Rattus norvegicus: one gene and its partners. The protein of the gene in region 1 interacts with the protein of each later gene in a biochemical or structural test. Links are inferred from orthologs where the notes say so. Each region holds a gene or a part of one and is shown in the gene's direction. Other genes may lie near its edges.

Region 1 (5,154 bases):
CTTCCCCTTTGAGATAAAACTTCACTGTGTAGTCTCTGCTGGTCCAGAGCTCTCCATGTAAACAAAGCTCTACTGTTTTGTTTTGTTTTTTTAATTTGTTTTGAGACAGTGTCTATACAGTCCTGGCTGTCTAGCAACTCACTATGTATAGACTATGCTGACCTCGAACTAGGAGAGCACTTGACTCTGCCTCCAGAGTGCTGGGGTTAAAGGTCTGCACTACCAAGCCCAACTCATATTTAGCTTTAATTATGTATGAGCACATGTGAATGCAGATGCTCTCAAGAGCCCAGAACAGGGGATGAGGTCTTCTGAAGCTGCAGTTACAGTCACTGGTAACTGGCCTCTCTCTACAAGAGCAGTATTGACTCTTAGCTGATGGGCCATCTCTCCAGCCTGTAGCCATCTTTTTTTTTTTTTTTTTTTTTTAAGAGCATCTTCTGTTGCTCTGGATGGGTTCAAATTATGTAGAGGAAGATGACCTTGAACTTCTGACCCCATGAGTACTGGGATGACTGGAACATCCTAGACCTAGGAATCAAACCCAGAGCTTCCTTCAATGTTAAGAACTTTCCTGAGTTGCCATCTCTAGCCCTTATTTTTCAGTAAGTACACTCATGTTCATATTAATTAAATTGCAACTATATGTCAGTTTTTAAAAGTGGTTCGTGCGAGGATCAATGATGGCTGTGTGCCATTAATCGGAGACCATAATTCATTCTGTCACCTTGATGTCCGCCCCCGCAAAACATTAAACTGCTTTTTCTAATCTGCGCCAAGTGAGAAACTGAAATGAGTGGGAGGGGCGGTAACTATTTTCACTTTTGTCTTCCTGTTTTTTTCAGAGCCTGGGAAAGAAGTCAGAATTTCCAATCTTTTCCAATTCCCACATGATTTCCTAATTTAGAGAAAATAAGTCTTTCTCCATGTGCTAAAGCCTCCTCTGCCCCCCACCCCGCCTCCTCCTTCTGGCATTGTGGAGGGAGCCTGATGTGTTGATTCCTCCAGCCAGTGTCCCCAGACTCAATCTGCACACCCGCCCTTGGCTTAGATGGCAATTTTCTCTCCCTACAAAAGCTTTCATCACTGGAGCTCAGGCTCCTGGGAGGCCTTCAAGGAGATGCTCAAGTGGTGTGACCCTGGCTAGCTCCGGAGATCCCTAGGGATCTGAACCTTAGCAGACAGGACCTATCTGTGGAGGCGAAGCCCTGGAGCTCTTCCAGCATTCATTGCTCTCAGGGACTCTTAGAGGTACAGGTGTCTACCTCGGTCCCCTCTACACCAAGGCCTCAGTCAAGCCTTGATGAAGCATGCTTTGGGAAGCACTCCTGCGCGCAGCCGGATCTAGGTTGGGAGCATATGGCCTGTAACGCGCGGCGGTCCCCAGAAGGCCCTGCACGAGTAGGAAAACGTGTGGAATTCAGTCACTGTGCTCCGCGGAAGCAGCAGGCCTGAGCCTCTCCTTGTGCAGGGCGAATGGCCGCAGCCTGCCAGCAGCCCGGGCTCTGCTCCAGACCAGGCCAGGGTGACATCACCAAACTCTTGAGATCAGAGCGGGGCGGGGAACGGGACCCGAAATCCCCTAAAAACAGAGTGAGTAATCGCGGGCCCGCCCTCCAGGCGGGGCCCGGACACGGAGCGAACCGCGCTGCGTAGTCCGGGAGCGGCTTGCAGTCGGGCGGGCCTCAGGACGAATAGCCTCGGCGTCCTACCGCCGCGCTCCGGTGTCCCCGCCCGCGCGCCGCACACCTTCCGCGCCCAGCGTGAGTTGCGCACCTGCTCTCGGCCCCCACGCGCGTCGGTGGCGGCGGCGCAGCGCGCAGGCGCGGCCGGATTCCGGGCAGTGACGCGACGACGGGCGCGCGCCGCGCATTTCCGCCTCTGGCGAATGGCTTCGCTTTAGCGCGCCGTGGGCTCAGCTGCGACCCCGGCCCCGCCCCCGGGACCCTGGCCATGGACGGTGAGGCTGCCCTCTGGCCCGCGGGACGGCTGCCCTAGAGTTCCGGGACCTGCGGCGGGATCCCCCTCGCGCCGTCTTCCGCCCCTTTCTGCGCCGCGGGTTGCTGCGCAGGGAGCGGCAGGCCGGATGGTGGCACGGGGCGGGGCGGGCTGCGAGGGGTCTGACTCAGTTGCCCCTCTCAGTGGAGGGCGCCTTGACTCAATGTCCCTCCTGGGTGGGAGTACGGGTGAATCTTGACTCAGTTTCCTCCGGCTTCCCCCCCCCACCCACTGTGTCGATGCGATTAGTTCTGGCTTCCTTTCCGTGTAAGGGAGAAAGTATCTGACTCAGTATCCCCCGAAAAGGAGAGGGGGTAGAACCCTTCCTCAGTGTCACTTATGAACGTAAAACAGGCTCTGACTCAGTTTCCCCGGGCAAAGGAATACCTCTGTGCCCCTTTTCTCTAGTAGAGAGATGCTTTTGCCTTCTTTACCTGGCCTCTTTCAGGGCAGGTCTTAGGATCTTGGCTCAGTTTCCTTTGGAGGCATTCCCTGGTGAGGGTGGGTACTGGAGTTTATTGACAGTGTGCCTTGTCTTTCCCTTTCAGATCTGTTTCCCCTCATCTTTCCCTCAGGTAAGTGGACCATCCTTCCTCAGTAGGTAGGGGCTGTCCTGGAGTAGGGGCCATGGGGGCAGCACCTAATGGCTGACCGTATCACCCACAGAGCCAGCCCAGGCTTCTGGGCCATATGTGGAGATCATTGAGCAGCCCAAGCAGCGGGGCATGCGTTTCCGTTACAAGTGCGAGGGCCGCTCTGCAGGCAGTATTCCTGGGGAGAGAAGCACAGATACCACTAAGACGCACCCCACCATCAAGGTAAGCAAGAGCCCCCAGGGGTGTCGGGGTGGGGACACAGATGTGGTGGAAGGCACTGTGGAGCCCCAGCAGACTTGCCTCCTTGCCACCGCGCCCCGTGTCTAGGAGCCAGATTTGGGATTGCTGGCCTCTAAAGTACTCTGTACTTTGGACAGATCAATGGCTACACGGGACCAGGAACAGTTCGAATCTCCCTGGTCACCAAAGACCCACCTCACCGGCCTCATCCACATGAACTTGTGGGGAAGGACTGCCGGGATGGCTTCTATGAGGCTGAACTCTGCCCAGACCGATGCATCCACAGGTGAGTCTGAATAGATAGGCTGGGGGTAGTGTGAGGTCAGGGTAGGTAGGGGGCAGGGTAAGAGCAGGCTGGGCCAGGCAGCTGTTACAAAGTTACACTTTTCTAAACACTGGCAGAATCCAGAGTCCTTGCTCTGTCCCCAGGTCTGCAAACAGACCCCCTTTGTCTTAAATTCGCTAACAGATGGGAACTCTTTATCTTGGAGCGACAGATCCTTTATGACTGGATAGCCCAGTCCCTTAGGCTCTTGTATCAGAAAGTCCGTAATGGACTCTCCTAGAGCTTAAATACCAGTTGGTAAAACCAGGGGACAGTTGTACAAACAGATAGAAAAGATACTAGTGGAGAATTATAATTTCCATGATGAAAAGAAAACACAGTAATAAATTAGAAGGAGGAGGAGGCTGGTCTCGTGGCATAGGGACAGAGTCTCATATAGCTGAAGCTGGCCTTGCACTCATGAGGGTTCACCTACCTCCTCTTCTCAACTCCAAGGGTAATAGGCGCGTAGCACCATGTCCTGTTACGTAGGTCTCATGACTTTGGGTTGGAAGATTGCAGAAGGCCTCTGTGCTAACACTCAAATGGTGAGAAAAAGCAGACAAGCCCAAAAGAACATTGCATGCACAAGAAAGAAGTATGGTGACCTGGAAAAGGGACTAAGTTTAGTGTGCTCAGGGACGGGACAGGAAGGCCCTGTGGCTGAGGCTAGGACACTGACTTGGGGGCTGGTGTGGGCCAGGTCCCTCAGAGACTCGCCAGTGGGTAAGGAGTGGGTTCATTGTAGCACAGTGGGAAGCCTTGAGCTGTGAGCTGAGGAGTGGGAAGAGGGTGTTCTTTTGGAGACACAGAACTAATGCCTGAGGCCTCAGCTTCCAGAACCTGGGGATCCAGTGTGTGAAGAAGCGAGACCTGGAGCAAGCCATTAGCCAGCGCATCCAGACCAACAATAACCCCTTTCAAGGTAGGAGCAAGGGGCAGGACATAGCCTGCCTGTGGTGCACATTCTGCCACCTTCCCTGGGCCTCTGGCGCTCCTCACCCTCCATGACCAACCCAACAGTACAAGTGGAACCTCGCTGCCAGCATGGTACACACTCACATGCTACCGTTGAGAGTCAGGCCTAGAAAGGGGTGGTGTATTCAGGTCCCAGTAGAGCCGTGATGGGTCTAGGATTTTGTCTTCCTCCCCTTAGACTTCTGTTTTATATATCCTCAAATCACCTTCCTCTTCCCTCAGAGCTCCCTGCCCTCCCCATGCCTTCCACCACTTTTTTTTTTTTTTTGACAGTTCCCATAGAGGAGCAGCGCGGGGACTATGACTTGAATGCGGTCCGCCTCTGCTTCCAGGTGACAGTGCGGGACCCATCAGGCAGGCCCCTCCGCCTGACCCCTGTCCTCTCGCATCCGATTTTTGATAACCGTAAGTGGCCAGCTGCAGTAAGGGGAGAGGGTGGGCTTGGGAAGAGAATGGGGCTGGGGTGGGTGTGGCCTTGCTGCAGGGGGCAGGGCAGAGAAGACCCAGAGCTGCCTCTGTGGGAAGCTTGCAGGATGCCCTGGAGTTGGATGGGAAGTGACTGTTTTCCATATCTTGTGTTGAGATGCTGGTGTGCCAAGAACTGTGCTCATGACTTTAGGAAACCAGATAAGGCTAGACAGCAGTAAATGAACATTAGTAGCTCACAGGAAGCTCTGATGACCTGGGCTGACACTGATGGATTGCAGTCTTTAGCAAGCAGCAGAGCAAATGAAAATAGAAGGGCTTTAAAATCCTAAGGACTGGAAACCAGTATGAACTGGAAGTGAGGAGCAGAGGGCTCATTGCCAAGGCAGGGATGAACCAAAAGCTGAAACTCTGAAGCTCAGGTGGAAGGAGACAGATGTGGCCAGTGTCTCCTCTGGACTGGAAGGTCTGTGAGGGACGGAAATGCAGCCTTCCGTGTCCCTCTTACCTAGAGCCGAGCTACAAGCACTGCAGGGAGACTGTGGTGAACTGGCTGACCTGAAGAGCAGACAGCAGAAGGTCTGCAGAAGT
Region 2 (5,507 bases), on another chromosome or scaffold:
CAGAAAATGAACTAATAATAATGATGATAGTAATGATAAAATCTTTAAAAGACCCTTAGATTTCTCCAAGAAAAAGGTAAACCTCAGTGTTTGTGGAGTTTTCTATTTTAAAAAATTATTTTATTTAAGTTTTTGGTATTTATTTTGAGACAGGGTCTTATGTGGCCCAGGCTTTCCCTATATAGCCAAGGATGACCTTGAGCTGCTGACAGGACAGGACAGGCAAGGCCCAGGGGGTGCTAGGCCAGCCATCTACCCGCTGGGCGGCTCCCCCAGCATTTGCCATTTTAAAGAGGAATTTAGGGCACCATTTTGAAGAGGGATTTAGGCACCAGTGCAGGCTATGCCCGCATGGCTCTGGGACCACTCTTAGGGTGACTTCTGCCAGGACCTGCAGGGCAGACAGAGGCTGTGTGTCATCCCATAGGCAGATGCCATCTCTGAGCTGCATTGTGCTGCCCTCTGTGCACTGGGCCTGGGTTCGGGACTGGGGAGCGGACCTCGTGCACTCACGGTCGAGCCGCAATAGCCTTATTTATTGTGTTTGTGTGTGTGTGTGTGTGTGTGTGTGTGTGTGTGTGTGTGTGTGTGCGCGAGAGAGAGAGAGTATGAGAGAGAGAGGGAGGGAGAGGGGCCACAGTGTGACTCAGGGTCCACCACTCAGTCTTGCATCCCTGAGCGAGTGCGGCCTTCACTTGGAGAGCATATCAGAAGTTAGCTGGGCTAACAAGCCACGCTTTTCCCATTGCTCCTGTCTGAGCCACAGGCCCTTGAGCGGCTGAGCCTGTTCAGGGCTGGCCGAGAACAGGGTCACTGTGCAGGCTGTGTTGGCCTCCCGTTCCTGACCCTGTGGCTGCGCTAGGCTGGCTTTATGTTTGTTTGTTTTTTGTTTTTTGTTTTTTTCCAGGACAGGGTCTCACTCTGTAGGACAGGATGGCCTCAAACTCACAGACGTCTACCTGTCTTACCCTCCCAAGTTTTGAGGGCCTTTTGGATTTAAAAAGAAATATTTTGATGGGCTTGTGGGCACAGGACTTTAACCCCAGCACTCAGGAGGCAGAAGCAGGCAGATCTCTGAGTTCCAGGACAGCCAGGGCTACACAGAGAAACCCTGTCTTGGAAGAGAGAGAGAATGGGGGGGGGGAGGTAGTGCTGTTGTTGAGGTGGAAGTCAGAGGACAACTTGGGGGAGTCACTGCTAGGCAAGAGCCTACCCCACTGAGTAGCCTCATAGGTCTGGAAAGCAAGCCACAGACCCAATCCCTTGATTCCACTGACCTGTCCTGGTCCAGGAAGGTTGCCACTACAAAGAGAAAGCAAGTGGAGTCCAGAAAGGTAGAACAGCCAACCTAGAATCACACAGCAGCAGAAGGCAAAGAGACCCCAGCCTCCAGCCCCGATGAGACTAGAGAGATGGGCTGGACCTGAAGAAGTTTCCTGAAGCCAGGACACCATGGGGTGTCTGTTCCTTTCAGCCCTGGGCCATCTCAGTCTTCAGCATTTGTTGTTGTGTGGAGATATCTCCCCAGGTTTGAGTACTCGGGTTACCGCCGGCTGTGTGACCTTGAACCTCTCACTCACCCTCTCTGGGCACCCACTGAATCCCATGTTAAGATGAGATAGGGGGATGACAAGTTCTGCAGCCCTCATCTCCTGCAGGAAGGTACCTCTGACTTTGGTGGTTGTTATTCCATTGAGAATGCTTTTGGAATTTCAGTAGGGGAAACTGAGTAACCTCGCCTGCCCAGGATTGCAGAAAACCCAGGGGTGTCCTTAAATGCAGCCAGATGTGGTGTTTGGCCCTGTCTCAGTTTGCATCTTGGGGCTGTGGCTCAGTTGGCAGGAGAATCAGGACTTCAAAGTCATCCTCAGCTACATAGTGAGTTCAGGGCTAGCCTGAGCTACATGAGACCCTGTCTCAAAAAAAAAAAAAGTTTTTGGCTTGACCCTCCAGAGGTGCCCCCTACCCCGAGGGGACCTCAGTTGCCTTCCCTTGTGTGTCCTCAGCCTGAAGCTGGAGTGTGACAAGCTGGCCAGCGAGAAGTCAGAGATGCAAAGGCATTACGTCATGGTAAAGCCCTCTCGGGGCGGGGGCGGGGGCGGGGCGTTGTGAGCGGCGACCCCAGACTCCCCACATACTGCAGGTGCCTGCTACCGAGTCCCCACAGGCTATCGGCAGCCTGGCCACCAGCCCAGGTAGTGGCTGAGGTGCCAAACCACCGGCTCGCAGCTCAGGCCGGCCAGGTCTCAGCCGTCCTTGGCGGGCTGCAGGAGGAGGCAGCTGTGGAAGCCTGCCATAGCCAGCCGGAAGCAACAGTTCCCTCCCTCCAGGCCATCCGGATGGCCAGGCATCCCTTAACCCTTCCTTGACCAGAGACCTCCTAACCCCCACAGGACCAAAGGGATTGTGCTTCCGTCCTTTAGTTCCCAGCAGGGGAGGTTGCTGGGGTCTTGGGGCATTGTGACTGGGGTCTTGAAGAACAAATAGGAGCTCACTGGATGGGGGTAGGGTGGAAGGGCATTGCTGGAATGTGCAGGGAGAAGCAGGCCACCCATAAGGCCACAGCCCTTTGGCCCTGACACGCTTCTCCACCTCACAGTACTATGAGATGTCTTACGGATTGAACATCGAGATGCACAAACAGGTGAGCCTCAGTATCCCTCCTCCATGACCCCAGTGCCCTGTGATTCCCAGACTGAGCATTGAGGCCACTCCTGTTACCCCCAGAGGTGGACTCAACTCCCCCTCCCCTGCCCTCCAAGTGCCCCAGGTACTGAGGGAAAACCATGTGTTCCAGGCTGAAATTGTGAAGAGGCTGAATGGGATTTGCGCCCAGGTTCTACCCTATTTGTCCCAGGAGGTAAGCAAGCCACCAGCAGGGAGCAGTGGGATTCCCTTCTCCCTGTGCTGAGCAACCCCCTGAGCACACACCTGCCCTCTCTGAACTTAGCAAAGGTGTGAATCGGAGCAGCTGGAGTCAGACCCCTGTGGCGAGGCAGAAAGTGCTACCGGGGTGGGCGGGCCGGCGCAGATGATTGATGGGGGACCGGGTGGGCGAACTCTGAGGAAATCGCTGTGAAGCTGGATTCCTAGTCTCCCACCCCGCCAGCCCCTGAGCCCCTAGGACCGGACTTCCCTTGTGCACTCGAACCGATTGCCCACTGCACAGGAGCCTCCCCCTTATGTTTAAACTCCAGCCTGACTGTCCCTTTGCCTGAGAGAACTGTGTCTCCTCCCTTGCCTCTTCCAGCATCAGCAGCAGGTCCTGGGAGCTATCGAGAGAGCCAAGCAGGTCACGGCTCCCGAGCTGAACTCCATCATCCGAGTAAGTCGGAGCTCCTGGTGGGCGGGGACTTGGGTGGGCAGGTGTATGACCCACGGTGACTGGGGTCAGGTGACAAGACCCTGAGCTGACTCTCACCCCACCCCCACCCTCGCCCCACAGCAGCAGCTCCAGGCTCACCAGCTGTCCCAGCTCCAGGCGCTGGCCCTGCCCCTGACACCGCTGCCTGTCGGGCTCCAGCCGCCATCCCTCCCTGCGGTCAGCGCAGGCACAGGCCTGCTGTCACTCTCTGCTCTGGGCTCTCAGACCCACCTCTCCAAGGAGGACAAGAACGGACACGATGGGGACACCCACCAGGAGGATGATGGAGAGAAGTCCGATTAGCTCCTGGGGAGAGGGAGGGGGAGGGGGGATACCAGGGGAGACAGGCACAGAGAGCACAGTGTTCTGAGGGCCACACTGCACACAGCTCGGTCCCTACCCAAGCTTCCACCTCCAGTCCTGGTTCCAGCTGTGCACCCTGGGCCTAGGAGACGCCAGAGGGACAGCCCAGGCTACAGGGAAAAATTCCCCACCTTCAACATTTCCCCGGGCTACAGCCACCAATCTCGGCCCAGAATGTACACAACGCTAGCCGCCCCTTTCCACCCTGTGCACCCCGAATTTGCCCCCTTTCCCCTTCTCTGCTTCCTGCACTGCACACCTGCTAGGCCCAGACCCCTCCCCCCAGCTCACCCAGCTCTGGTTCCCTCAACCGCGGAAAGAAAGCATTGGCTCGGGACTGCAGTGGGGGTGGGCACCCCACAAACTTCCCTCTCCCCTTCCCCAAATAAACGTGAGGGTTAAAAGTCGGTTTGTTTATTATTTCTTTTTCGTCCCAGTACTCTATAGCTACCATCTAAGAGAGAAAAAGAAGGAAGCCCTGGAGCGAGCGAGGGTCTGTCTGTGCATATAGTTAGATTTTTCTGGTCGCCTCGGCTTTGCCACCGAGAGGTGGAGGGCCGCTGTACTGAGGGTGGGGTCTAGCTGTGCCTTCAAAATAAAAACATGAAAAGGTCGGATGGTGTGTCCCTGCCTCTGTCTTGTGGGGTGGGGACCCCTTTCCTCAGGGCACCCTGTGTTCTGCAATAAGACACTCCTTGAGCAAGCAAAGGCCCAGAGGGTAAACTGGGGCCCTGCAGTCCTGGGGCAGGACGGTGCAGCTCAGTGCTCAGGTTTTCAACTGTTTTGGCAGGGTGGCCTGTGGCACCCACATGGGTGCCTTGGTTACTTTCTGAGAGGTGGCCTGAAGGCTCTCTGTACCCCTTCCAGGCTAGGCTGTCCCCTGGGGACCATGCCTTTTTGGGCCTCAGTTTTGGGCCTTTTTCTGTCTTGGTTTTCTGTGTAGCCCTGACTATCCCGAACTCATTCCTCAAACTCATAGAAGTCTACCTGCCTCTGCTTTCTGAGGCCGGGCAGTGGCGTCCTGTGCCACCTGTTTTCTTTATTTGTTTTCTGTTTGTTTTTCATTTGCTGGTTTATCGTGTCTGTCCGGTTTGAGGACCTCTTACAGGAATCTGTCCTCATCCTCCTTGTATCCTCGGGGTCAAACCCAGGGCGTCACTCTTTGTAGCAACTCCTTCACAGCAAAGCCATGGCTCTCTCAGCCAGTTTTTGTTGTTGTTGTTTCAGACAGGGTCTCACTGTGTAGCCCAGGATGGCCTGGAACTTGGTTTGTAGCCTGGGCTGGCCTTACTCGGATCCCCAGATTGTTTCTGTGTTTTGAGACAGGTTCTTGCTACAGCTCTGGTCCAAGCACTAAGAGGCCTGGAGTTCACCCTGGATCTTGGGGTACTGAACCCACTCGGGATCTTCAGCCAAAGAGTCAGAGGGTCTAGGGGGGCCAAAGCTTCTCCTCCCTCTGCTCCTGGGAAATCATTTTGAGGTATCTCATTGAGGGGTTATTGCCCCCTTTCCCCCTGTGGCTCTTGTGGGGAAGGTCCTGCCAACAGCTGGACTGGCAGTACGGGGACCCCAGGGAGAGTGCTGAGCCAGCTGACCTTGTATAATTGATCACCTATGTTCTAGTCACCTGATGAAGTGTGGAGGGGGACAAGGAGGGGGCTGAGGGTCCCAGCTCCTTATGCCCAAGACTTGAGCCTAAGACAGCAATGGTGACCAGGTGACACCCCCTCCCTGAGGTCCTTCCTTAGGGATTTTGTGGCTTTCTGGAGTCCTCCTGAGG
Region 3 (4,707 bases), about 270 kb from region 1:
GGACAAGGCTGCCTCCTAAAGGCGAGCAAATGTGAGCCTGCTCTCTTCTGTGCTGTGCGCTCCAACACATTCATACCTTAATTATAGTTATTACTGCTCACTGAATCAACTCAGGCTGTACTTGTAGTGTTGCTGTGTGTGTGTTTTTATTAAGCTATGCAGTGGTCTCCTGTGACTGCTCAGTGAAAGTCCCTATCAGATCCTACGTTAGTGCTTGTCCATACAGCTTTAGTTGTAGGTATTGGCCACTGAGACTGAGACCTTCTCCCTCTTGCTTTTCATGCCTCCTTATCCCTACTATCTCCATCAGAATCCTGGCAGGCCAGAGATCATCTAATCTAACTGCCCCAATCTATAGGAGAGGAATGGAGGTTCATACAGATTAACCACATGACTGTGTCCATGTGGTGCCTGTACCAAAATCAGTCTTTTTACTCCCAAATCCATCCTGATGTGATCTAGATGACACCTTCATGGGTCCTGGGGATACTATGGGAAAGAAGTCTCTTCTGCCCTCAATGTTTTTTTTTTTTTTTTTTTTTTTTTTTTGTGGGGTGGGGGTTGGAATGTGGCTCAGTTGGTGGAATACTTGCTTAGCATGCAAGAGATCCTGGTTTGATTAGCGAGCACCACATAAAACTGGATGTGGTAGTGCATGCCTTTTGGGGAGGTAGAGGCAGGAAGATCAGAAATTCAAGGTCACTATTGACTGCATATGGGGTTGGAGGTGAGAATGAGCTACACGAACCACTATTTTTAAAAAAAAAAGATTGAGGGCTGGAGAGATGTCTCAGTGGTTAAGAGCATTGACTGCTCTTCCAGAGGTCCTGAGTTCAAATCCCAGCAATCACATGTGGTTCACAACCATCTGTAAAGCTCTCTTCTGGTGTGTCTGAAGATAGCTACAGTGTACTTATATATAATAAATAAATAAATCGTTTTAAAAAAAAGATTGAATATGTGACTGGGATATAGCTCAGTGGTAGAATACATATAGCACTTTGGAGGTTCTGCATATGAGCCCCAGAACAACAAAAAGATTGATTGACTGATTGATTGATTAAAAATATGAGTCCTTGGGGTTGGGGATTTAGCTCAGTGGTAGAGCACTTGCCTAGCAAGCGCAAGGCCCTGGGTTCGGTCCCCAGCTCCAAAAAAAAAAAAAAAAAAAAAAAAATGAGTCCTTACAAACTTACTGAACCAAAACAAGGTGGGGTCGTTGAACATGCTTAGAACCACAAAACCCCTCGCTCTCCAGTTTGCTGTCTTGTTATAAAGTACTTAGAGAGCCCCTCAGATTTCAGATCGCCTCCTCCAACACCAGACAATTCTTGGTGTCGGTTGGGAAGAGCCTGAGGTGGGCTTTGGTGTAACAGATTTTCTATTACTAGTTGTAGTGCTTAGTAAAAGTGGTCCTACCCCATGGCACTTCTCAGCACTGTGCCTGCCTTCTTTCCCCTAATTACCTTTGGATTGTTTGTACATGAAGAGCTTTTAAATTTTATCTTATTTGTATGAGCGTTTTGCCTGTATGTATGTGTGCCACATGTGTGACTGGTCCCCACAGACACCAGAAGAGGGAATTAGATCCTTCTAACTGTGAACCACTATATATATGGATTCTGGGAACCAGACCTGGACAGGTCCTCCTCGAGAACAGGTGTTTTGGGTTTGTTGGTTTGTTTTTTTGTTTTTTTTTTTTTTTTTTTTGTTGTTGTTTTGTTTTGTTTTTTGTTTTTTTTTTTTTTTTTGTTTGGTTTTTGTTTGGTTTTTGAGACAGGGTCTCTCTGTAGTGTTTGGTTGACCTGGAACTCTATCCAGATGAGACAGGCCTCGAACCCAGAATTCCACCTGCCTCTGCTTCTTGAGGCATTTCTGTTGTGTTTTATTGGTTTTTTGTTGTTGTTTTGGTTGGTTGGTTTTTTAGTCTTGTGTAGTTGAGGCTGTCCTTGAACTACATATCTAGCTGAGGATCACTTAACACCTATACCTCCCGTCCCGTGTGCTAGGATCACAGGTGTGTGCCACCATACAGCCTAGTTTGAATTTTGAGGCAGAGTTTTGCTGTCTGATTCAACTGGCTTTGAAGTTAGGGTAATATACCTACCTTAGTCTTACTATTAGACATATGTACCATTTTCTAGAACTGAATAGCGTTTTGACGGGTGAATCTGCTAATAGTGCACTAAAAATCTTGTGACGAGTCCTAGATCTTGTTGTTTTCCCCATTTGTCAGGAAGTTAATATCTACAGTAATGTCTGCAGCTCAGATGCTTAGGCTAAGACAGGTAGCATTAACCAGCTTGAGCTGGACATATGGGAACCACAGAATGAGCCATTCATTTCTTTCTTGTCTCTTCCTCCCCCAGTAGTGACAGATTGAATCCAGAGCCCTGTGCGGGCTGAGCAAGCTTTCTACCACATCTGTTTCCTTGACCATTCTTCACTCTATGTGGATTAAGATTTAAGTTTGACTTGGCAGGAGGATTTTCATGAGTTTAGCACTTGGGCTGAAGAATGAAAGAGACCTTGTCTCAGAACAAACAAATATTTAAAAAGTTTATGTCTGACTATACACATGATAAATTTGTGTGTCCCATGATTATTATTCAGGGGCTCTGTAACTTATCTTTCCTCATGTGATAGCTTAGTGAAGGTTCTTCTTGTCCCTTGAGGCAGAATAGGAGGCAAATGACAGAAAGAGAGTCTCTTAGATCCCTGAGCCTTTGAGAGAAGCAGTTGACAGGGAAGAAGGATGATTTGACCCCATCCCTCTATGTTTTACCGTCCTGCAGCCTTGGGGAGCAGTACTACAAAGATGCCATGGAACAGTGCCACAATTATAATGCCCGCCTGTGTGCCGAGCGTAGCGTGCGTCTGCCTTTCTTGGACTCTCAGACTGGAGTAGCCCAGAGCAATTGTTACATCTGGATGGAAAAGCGGCACCGGGGCCCAGGTAAGGTCGCAGACTTCAGGAACGGTGGCACAGGAGCACGAGGAAGCATCTGCTATCCCCTAGGAGATGCTCCTTAGGCTCCTTAGGTAGTAGAAGGCTCCACCACTGTCACACTGGTAGATGAGAACCAGGGGGGATGTAGCAGCCGGCCTTTGTTTTCAGCCTCTGAGGCAGCTATGATCTTCCGAGGACTAAGAACAGCTGTGTACTTCAACTGACATCTGTTTTTCTTTACCATGAAGTATCCCCACCCGGCCCAGGCTCACATGTTCTGTACCCTTGCTCTAGAACTCAATAAAGTTCTCATCTACAAGATGTTTGCCGTTGTTTTTAGGCTGGATTAGGGCTTAATAGTTCTTCCTTCCCTTCCTTCCTTCCACAGGATTGGCCTCTGGACAGTTGTACTCCTACCCTGCCCGACGCTGGCGAAAAAAGCGTCGAGCCCACCCACCTGAGGATCCCAGGCTTTCTTTCCCGTCTATTAAGCCAGGTAGAGGCTGGGGTAGCTCAGTTGCTAGAGTGTCACCCAGCATACACTGGGCCCTGGGTTTAATATCCTGCTTTGCATAAACTGAACATGGTTGTATATTCCTATATAACAATACCATTGAGGAGGTTGGGGCAGGAGGATTAGAAATTCAGGGTCATTCTCTACTAATAGAGAGTCTGAGACCAGCCTGGACTACATGAGAGCCTCAAAAACCATGAAATTCCCTCAAAATGATATGGGTTGGAGAGAAGTCCCAGTGCTTGTGTGAACACAAGGACCTAAATTCTAGTCTAGCATTTATACAAAGCTCAGTGTGGCCAAGGCCAACATGTTCCTGTAATCCCAAAACTCTGAGTACAGAGCTGGCGCTTCTAGCTACCAATCTAATTCAGTGAGAGACTCCAAGGCAATAAGGCAGAGCCCCCAGTGTCCTCCCAACATGTGTAGCCACATGTGTTCATGCGCCATATAGACATATATGATTATGTCTTATATGTCATGACTAAAATAATCCAGAGTAAATAAACCAAGTAAGGGGCTCCCTTCTCAGGAAGGCCATGGTCTGTATGAGGGGAGGCTTGCTGATTGCCGGCTCTCCCCAGGCTCTGTTGAGCTTGCACATACTTTGCTTCTGTCCTTCAGGGAGCCCACTGTTAGTGAAAACAGGTAATGCAGCTTATTCCAGTGCCGGCTGAACAGATACATCTCGGTTCCTGGAGAACAGAAGTGGCTGGGTTTGACTTGGCCCCTCGTGGTGTAGATTCAGCTTCAGCCCTTCTGAGTTAGCTTCATCTTGACTTGTTGCAGACACGGACCAGACTCTGAAGAAAGAGGGCCTTATCTCCCAGGATGGCAGCAGTTTAGAGGCTCTGCTGCGTACTGATCCCCTGGAGAAACGGGGTGCCCCAGATCCCCGAGTTGATGATGACAGCCTGGGCGAGTTTCCTGTTACCAACAGTCGAGCACGGAAGGTATGTCGTTCCTATCTATGGCTAAAGGACTTTAATAAGGATCAGCCTCTTTTGGGTCTACTAATTGGACCACTAATCGTGTGCCACCAAGTGCTGCTGGGAATTGAACTCAGGACCTCTGGAAGAGCAATCCGTGCTCTTAACCTCTGAGCCAATTTTTGGTCCAATTAGTAGAACTGAAGCAGATCATGGTAGAATACATGCCTGTTGATGTGTAAGCCCTAACACAAAAAACAAAAATAGCCGAAATGGAGGCGGAGGCTGCCCTGCAGTCCTGGGCTCTGCCAGCC
Region 4 (4,039 bases), on another chromosome or scaffold:
CCCAGCCTGTGCACCCTGACGTCACCATGAAACCACTGCCCTTCTACGAAGTCTACGGAGAGCTCATCCGGCCCACCACCCTTGGTATGGCTGACTGGTCTCTCAGGCTTTCTGGATTCTGGTTCAGGCTGGAATTTTTCCTATTAGGTTTTACTCTTGAAGGATCAGCAGTGTGGGATGGAAGCAAGTAGCTTCTCAGGCAGGGGCTTGGGAATGACGGTGCCTTTGTGTCCACAGCGTCCACCTCCAGTCAGAGGTTTGAGGAAGCCCACTTTACCTTTGCACTCACTCCCCAGCAGCTGCAGCAGATTCTCACATCCAGGTACACCCATCCCCGCCTTGTCCCTGCCGACTCTCCTCTCTGTGCCCCAGGCTTGCTTCTGCTCTGAACTGCTCTTACTTTGCGCAGGGAGGTTCTGCCAGGAGCCAAGTGCGATTATACCATACAAGTGCAGCTCAGGTGAGTTGCTCCTTATCCAGGGTGGGTGCTAAATAGGTAGATGGCATCCTCCCCCCCCACCCCGCCCCCAGCCCCAGTCCACTCTGGCCCATGACTCCTCAGGATGCTGATGGCTACAGATATCTATGGCTAGTTTTTCTTTTTTCTGGAGTTCCCTGCTCAGTTCTCGATTCACATCAGAAAACTGCCACTTAACCCCCCATTCGTCTGTCCTTTCTCCCCAGGTTCTGTCTCTGTGAGACCAGCTGCCCCCAGGAGGACTATTTCCCCCCTAACCTCTTTGTCAAGGTTAATGGGAAACTCTGCCCCCTGCCGGTAGGTAAAGAGTCTCTCCCTTTGGCAAGGAATAAATATTAAGTAAAAACCTCTTATGAAAAGACATGCTTAGGACAGTGCCTGGCACGTAGTAGTTGCTCAATTTATTGATGAAATCAATACAATCTAGCGATAATTAAAATAGGGCTGACTAGTTTTTGTCAGAACCCAGTAGAGGGACACTAGTTTACTATGAAAAGACCTCTAAAAGGTGATATTAGATGAAGTGGACCCATGGGACCCAGTGACTGGGTTCCTTCCCACTTTCACTCCCTTACACCAGCCCTACCAGGGCCCTTGTTTTTCAGCGGATCCTGATTCCTTTGCTCCTGGGTGAGCTGGCCATCCTCCAGAGAGTAATCTGAGACAGGAGTTCTGTTGTTAGAGTTGAACCTCTCCCAGCGCTCTCTCTCCACTAACAAATCCCTCCTTTCCTCAGGGTTACCTCCCTCCAACCAAGAATGGAGCTGAGCCCAAGAGGCCTAGTCGTCCAATCAACATCACACCCCTGGCTCGTCTCTCAGCCACTGTTCCCAACACCATAGTGGTTAACTGGTCATCTGAGTTTGGACGGGTGAGCATTGCTGAAGCCGAAAGGCTGTAGAGGCTGCAGGGGGCCATCTAGTTTTGAGTTGGGGATTCATCTTGCTCTTAGGTCTCTGTGCTAAAGGCCACTGTCTCTGGTCTCTGTGAGACAAAGGCCATCTCGAAAGAGGAGGCGTGGGAAGCAGAAACTGATGCTCCCTCTCCCTTCCCCAAGTAGAATTACTCCTTGTCTGTGTACCTGGTGAGGCAGTTGACTGCAGGGACCCTGCTACAAAAGCTCAGAGCCAAGGGTATCCGGAATCCAGACCATTCCCGAGCACTGAGTGAGTAACAGTCCTTTCCTCCTTCTACTTTGAGCTCAGGCTTTCTCAGGAACAGCTCTTGCATATGGTCTCCCTGGTTTTCTCCTCAGTCTCAGCTGAGGAGTTAGACCCTCAGGCAGTGGGAAGAGCTTTGCATTGTGAATCACACAACAGTTTTGTATCTCACCCTCCTAAGATTCTAATCCCACCCTACTAAGACAGAGCTCTCTGTACCGAAGCCTGAAGTCCAATCCTCCCATCTGGATCGTCCCTAACGTAGCCCACATTTCACCTTGCGTTGTTTAAGCATCTTTAGGGATGTAGACATCTCTTCTCCACTCCTGTGACCCACCATGAGCCCCCAGACACTCTACCCAGCTGCCTGTCATCTGGGGCTGTCTGCTGCCAGGCTGCTTCCAGCCTCACTGACCCCTGGAAATGGCCCCATCCTTGTTTCAGTCAAGGAGAAATTGACTGCTGACCCCGACAGTGAAGTGGCTACTACAAGTCTCCGGGTGTCACTCATGTGCCCGGTGGGTACAAGGTGGGGGACAGGAAGTGGGAGGAGGGCTGGGATACATTCTGAAGAGGGTCCCTCAGGATACTAGAGGGAGGTTTGCTAGAGTGAACTCTCCTCTCCTCAGCTGGGGAAGATGCGCCTGACTGTCCCATGCCGCGCTCTCACCTGTGCCCACCTGCAGAGTTTCGATGCTGCCCTTTATCTACAGATGAATGAGAAAAAGCCAACATGGACGTGCCCTGTGTGTGACAAGAAGGCTCCCTATGAGTCACTGATTATTGATGGGTAGGGCTCTTCAGCTTCCCTCTGTTCTGGGACAGTCACTAAGTCCCAGCTTTCACTGTTTCCATCTCCTTTAGCCTCCACCATGTGCGTAACATTAAGGACGTGAGCACTCTGACTGCATTTTCTCAGTAGTCCCCCTGATAGCCCCACGACATAGGTGCCATCATGATAGATGGGGAAAGGGACTGAAGGTCACATTCGTAAGTGACAGGGCTGTGCATTGAATTGTTCCAAATGCATTGCTGACGACTACCAGACCTTCCTGCAGAGCATTGCAGTCAGGGCTCCTCCTCGTTTTTCCTATCACAAAAGCATTTATTAGGTCGACACAATAAGGGTGGTTTTTTGTTTGTTTGTTTTTGTTTTTGTTTTTTGAGATCCTGGATGGGCTTATATAACTAGTCTTCCACCCTAACCCTTAATAAGCAAGTTTTCTAGTCTTAGTCCCCTTCCACAGCTCTCTTACATACTTTCCCCCACAATGCCAGGGTTCAGACTCAGGGCCTGCATGCTAAGCAAGTGCTCTATTATTGAGCTGCAGTCCCAGCCTGTGCTGTCCTCCTATTCCAGCGTCAGTTCAGAGAGGTGCAGTGGGGTGGATAATGCAGACGAGGTGACTAAGGCATAGGAAGTGAGTCTCAGAACACTGAGTGCGCTTCCAGCCGTCTTCCAGCCAGGGTCGTGAATCGCCATGTCCTCCTCCCCTAGTTTATTCATGGAAATTCTTAATTCCTGTTCGGATTGTGATGAGATCCAGTTCATGGAAGATGGATCCTGGTGTCCAATGAAACCCAAGAAGGAGGCATCCGAGGTTTGCCCCCCACCAGGGTATGGGCTGGATGGTGAGTGACCCTCTGCTCTCCCATTGCACTCAGTCATGGGTGGCCCTTTTTCTGAGACAGCCTTCTGAACCACCCATAGGTCTCCAGTATAGCCCAGTCCAGGAGGGAAATCAGTCAGAGAATAAGAAGAGGGTTGAAGTCATTGACTTGACAATCGAAAGCTCATCAGATGAGGAAGATCTGCCCCCCACCAAGAAGCACTGCCCTGTTACCTCGGCTGCCATTCCAGCCCTTCCTGGAAGCAAAGGGTATGAGAAAAGGCTGCTTCTGTATCGGAGGGGGCAGATGTCAGAACTGCCTTTTGGCCACCGGGCAAGCTATGGGATGGGGAAGGGCAGGGACGATGGGACCTTGGGCAGCCGTGTTTGGCTGGTTTCTCCAGCTCTTTCTCCCCACTACAGAGCCCTGACCTCTGGTCACCAGCCGTCTTCGGTGCTGCGGAGCCCTGCAATGGGTACACTGGGCAGTGATTTCCTGTCTAGTCTCCCACTACATGAGTACCCACCTGCCTTCCCGCTGGGGGCTGACATCCAAGGTAGAACGCTGACCCTAAGGTGGAGGGGAGGGTCCTGCCCTCGTACCCTGTCCAGACCTGTTTCTTTGCAGAGCCCTAGGGACAGGGGGAATTTTTTTTTTTTTTTTCTTGTGGTGAAGGAGTCAGAAGGGGGTTGATTTTGATTTTTCTTTTCCTACCAGGTTTAGATTTATTTTCTTTCCTTCAGACTGAGAGTCAGGTAAGTGGTCATGTCTAGGAAGATGCAAGATCTCA

The links.
Region 2: the proteins of Rela (region 1) and Tle5 form a complex in vitro, tested with the Homo sapiens proteins (2 studies listed by BioGRID). The link is inferred for Rattus norvegicus from reciprocal best matches to the Homo sapiens genes RELA and TLE5.
Region 3: the proteins of Rela (region 1) and Dpf2 form a complex in vitro, tested with the Homo sapiens proteins (2 studies listed by BioGRID). The link is inferred for Rattus norvegicus from reciprocal best matches to the Homo sapiens genes RELA and DPF2.
Region 4: the proteins of Rela (region 1) and Pias3 form a complex in vitro, tested with the Homo sapiens proteins (2 studies listed by BioGRID, with this or other methods). The link is inferred for Rattus norvegicus from reciprocal best matches to the Homo sapiens genes RELA and PIAS3.

What each region holds. Positions count from the first base shown.
Region 1 is NC_086019.1:212,352,444-212,357,597, forward strand, and holds the start of Rela (transcription factor p65), read left to right. Parts: upstream 1-1,892; 5' UTR 1,893-1,953; coding exon 1,954-1,960; intron 1,961-2,546; coding exon 2,547-2,573; intron 2,574-2,664; coding exon 2,665-2,816; intron 2,817-2,971; coding exon 2,972-3,120; intron 3,121-3,992; coding exon 3,993-4,084; intron 4,085-4,410; coding exon 4,411-4,542; intron 4,543-5,154. UniProt on the Homo sapiens protein: NF-kappa-B is a pleiotropic transcription factor present in almost all cell types and is the endpoint of a series of signal transduction events that are initiated by a vast array of stimuli related to many biological processes such as inflammation, immunity, differentiation, cell growth, tumorigenesis and apoptosis.
Region 2 is NC_086025.1:8,792,957-8,798,463, reverse strand, and holds the end of Tle5 (TLE family member 5), read left to right. Parts: exon of another isoform or gene 1-2,000; intron 2,001-2,006; coding exon 2,007-2,070; intron 2,071-2,599; coding exon 2,600-2,644; intron 2,645-2,762; coding exon of another isoform or gene 2,763-2,777; exon of another isoform or gene 2,778-2,797; coding exon 2,798-2,860; intron 2,861-3,250; coding exon 3,251-3,325; intron 3,326-3,445; coding exon 3,446-3,667; 3' UTR 3,668-4,341; downstream 4,342-5,507. UniProt on the Homo sapiens protein: Transcriptional corepressor. Acts as a dominant repressor towards other family members. Inhibits NF-kappa-B-regulated gene expression. May be required for the initiation and maintenance of the differentiated state.
Region 3 is NC_086019.1:212,621,124-212,625,830, reverse strand, and holds part of Dpf2 (zinc finger protein ubi-d4), read left to right. Parts: intron 1-2,795; coding exon 2,796-2,956; intron 2,957-3,338; coding exon 3,339-3,446; intron 3,447-4,253; coding exon 4,254-4,417; intron 4,418-4,707. UniProt on the Homo sapiens protein: Plays an active role in transcriptional regulation by binding modified histones H3 and H4. Is a negative regulator of myeloid differentiation of hematopoietic progenitor cells. Might also have a role in the development and maturation of lymphoid cells.
Region 4 is NC_086020.1:186,924,587-186,928,625, forward strand, and holds part of Pias3 (E3 SUMO-protein ligase PIAS3), read left to right. Parts: coding exon 1-84; intron 85-237; coding exon 238-322; intron 323-409; coding exon 410-460; intron 461-684; coding exon 685-775; intron 776-1,214; coding exon 1,215-1,349; intron 1,350-1,538; coding exon 1,539-1,644; intron 1,645-2,082; coding exon 2,083-2,156; intron 2,157-2,267; coding exon 2,268-2,428; intron 2,429-3,136; coding exon 3,137-3,270; intron 3,271-3,349; coding exon 3,350-3,518; intron 3,519-3,671; coding exon 3,672-3,805; intron 3,806-3,966; coding exon 3,967-4,004; intron 4,005-4,039. UniProt on the Homo sapiens protein: Functions as an E3-type small ubiquitin-like modifier (SUMO) ligase, stabilizing the interaction between UBE2I and the substrate, and as a SUMO-tethering factor.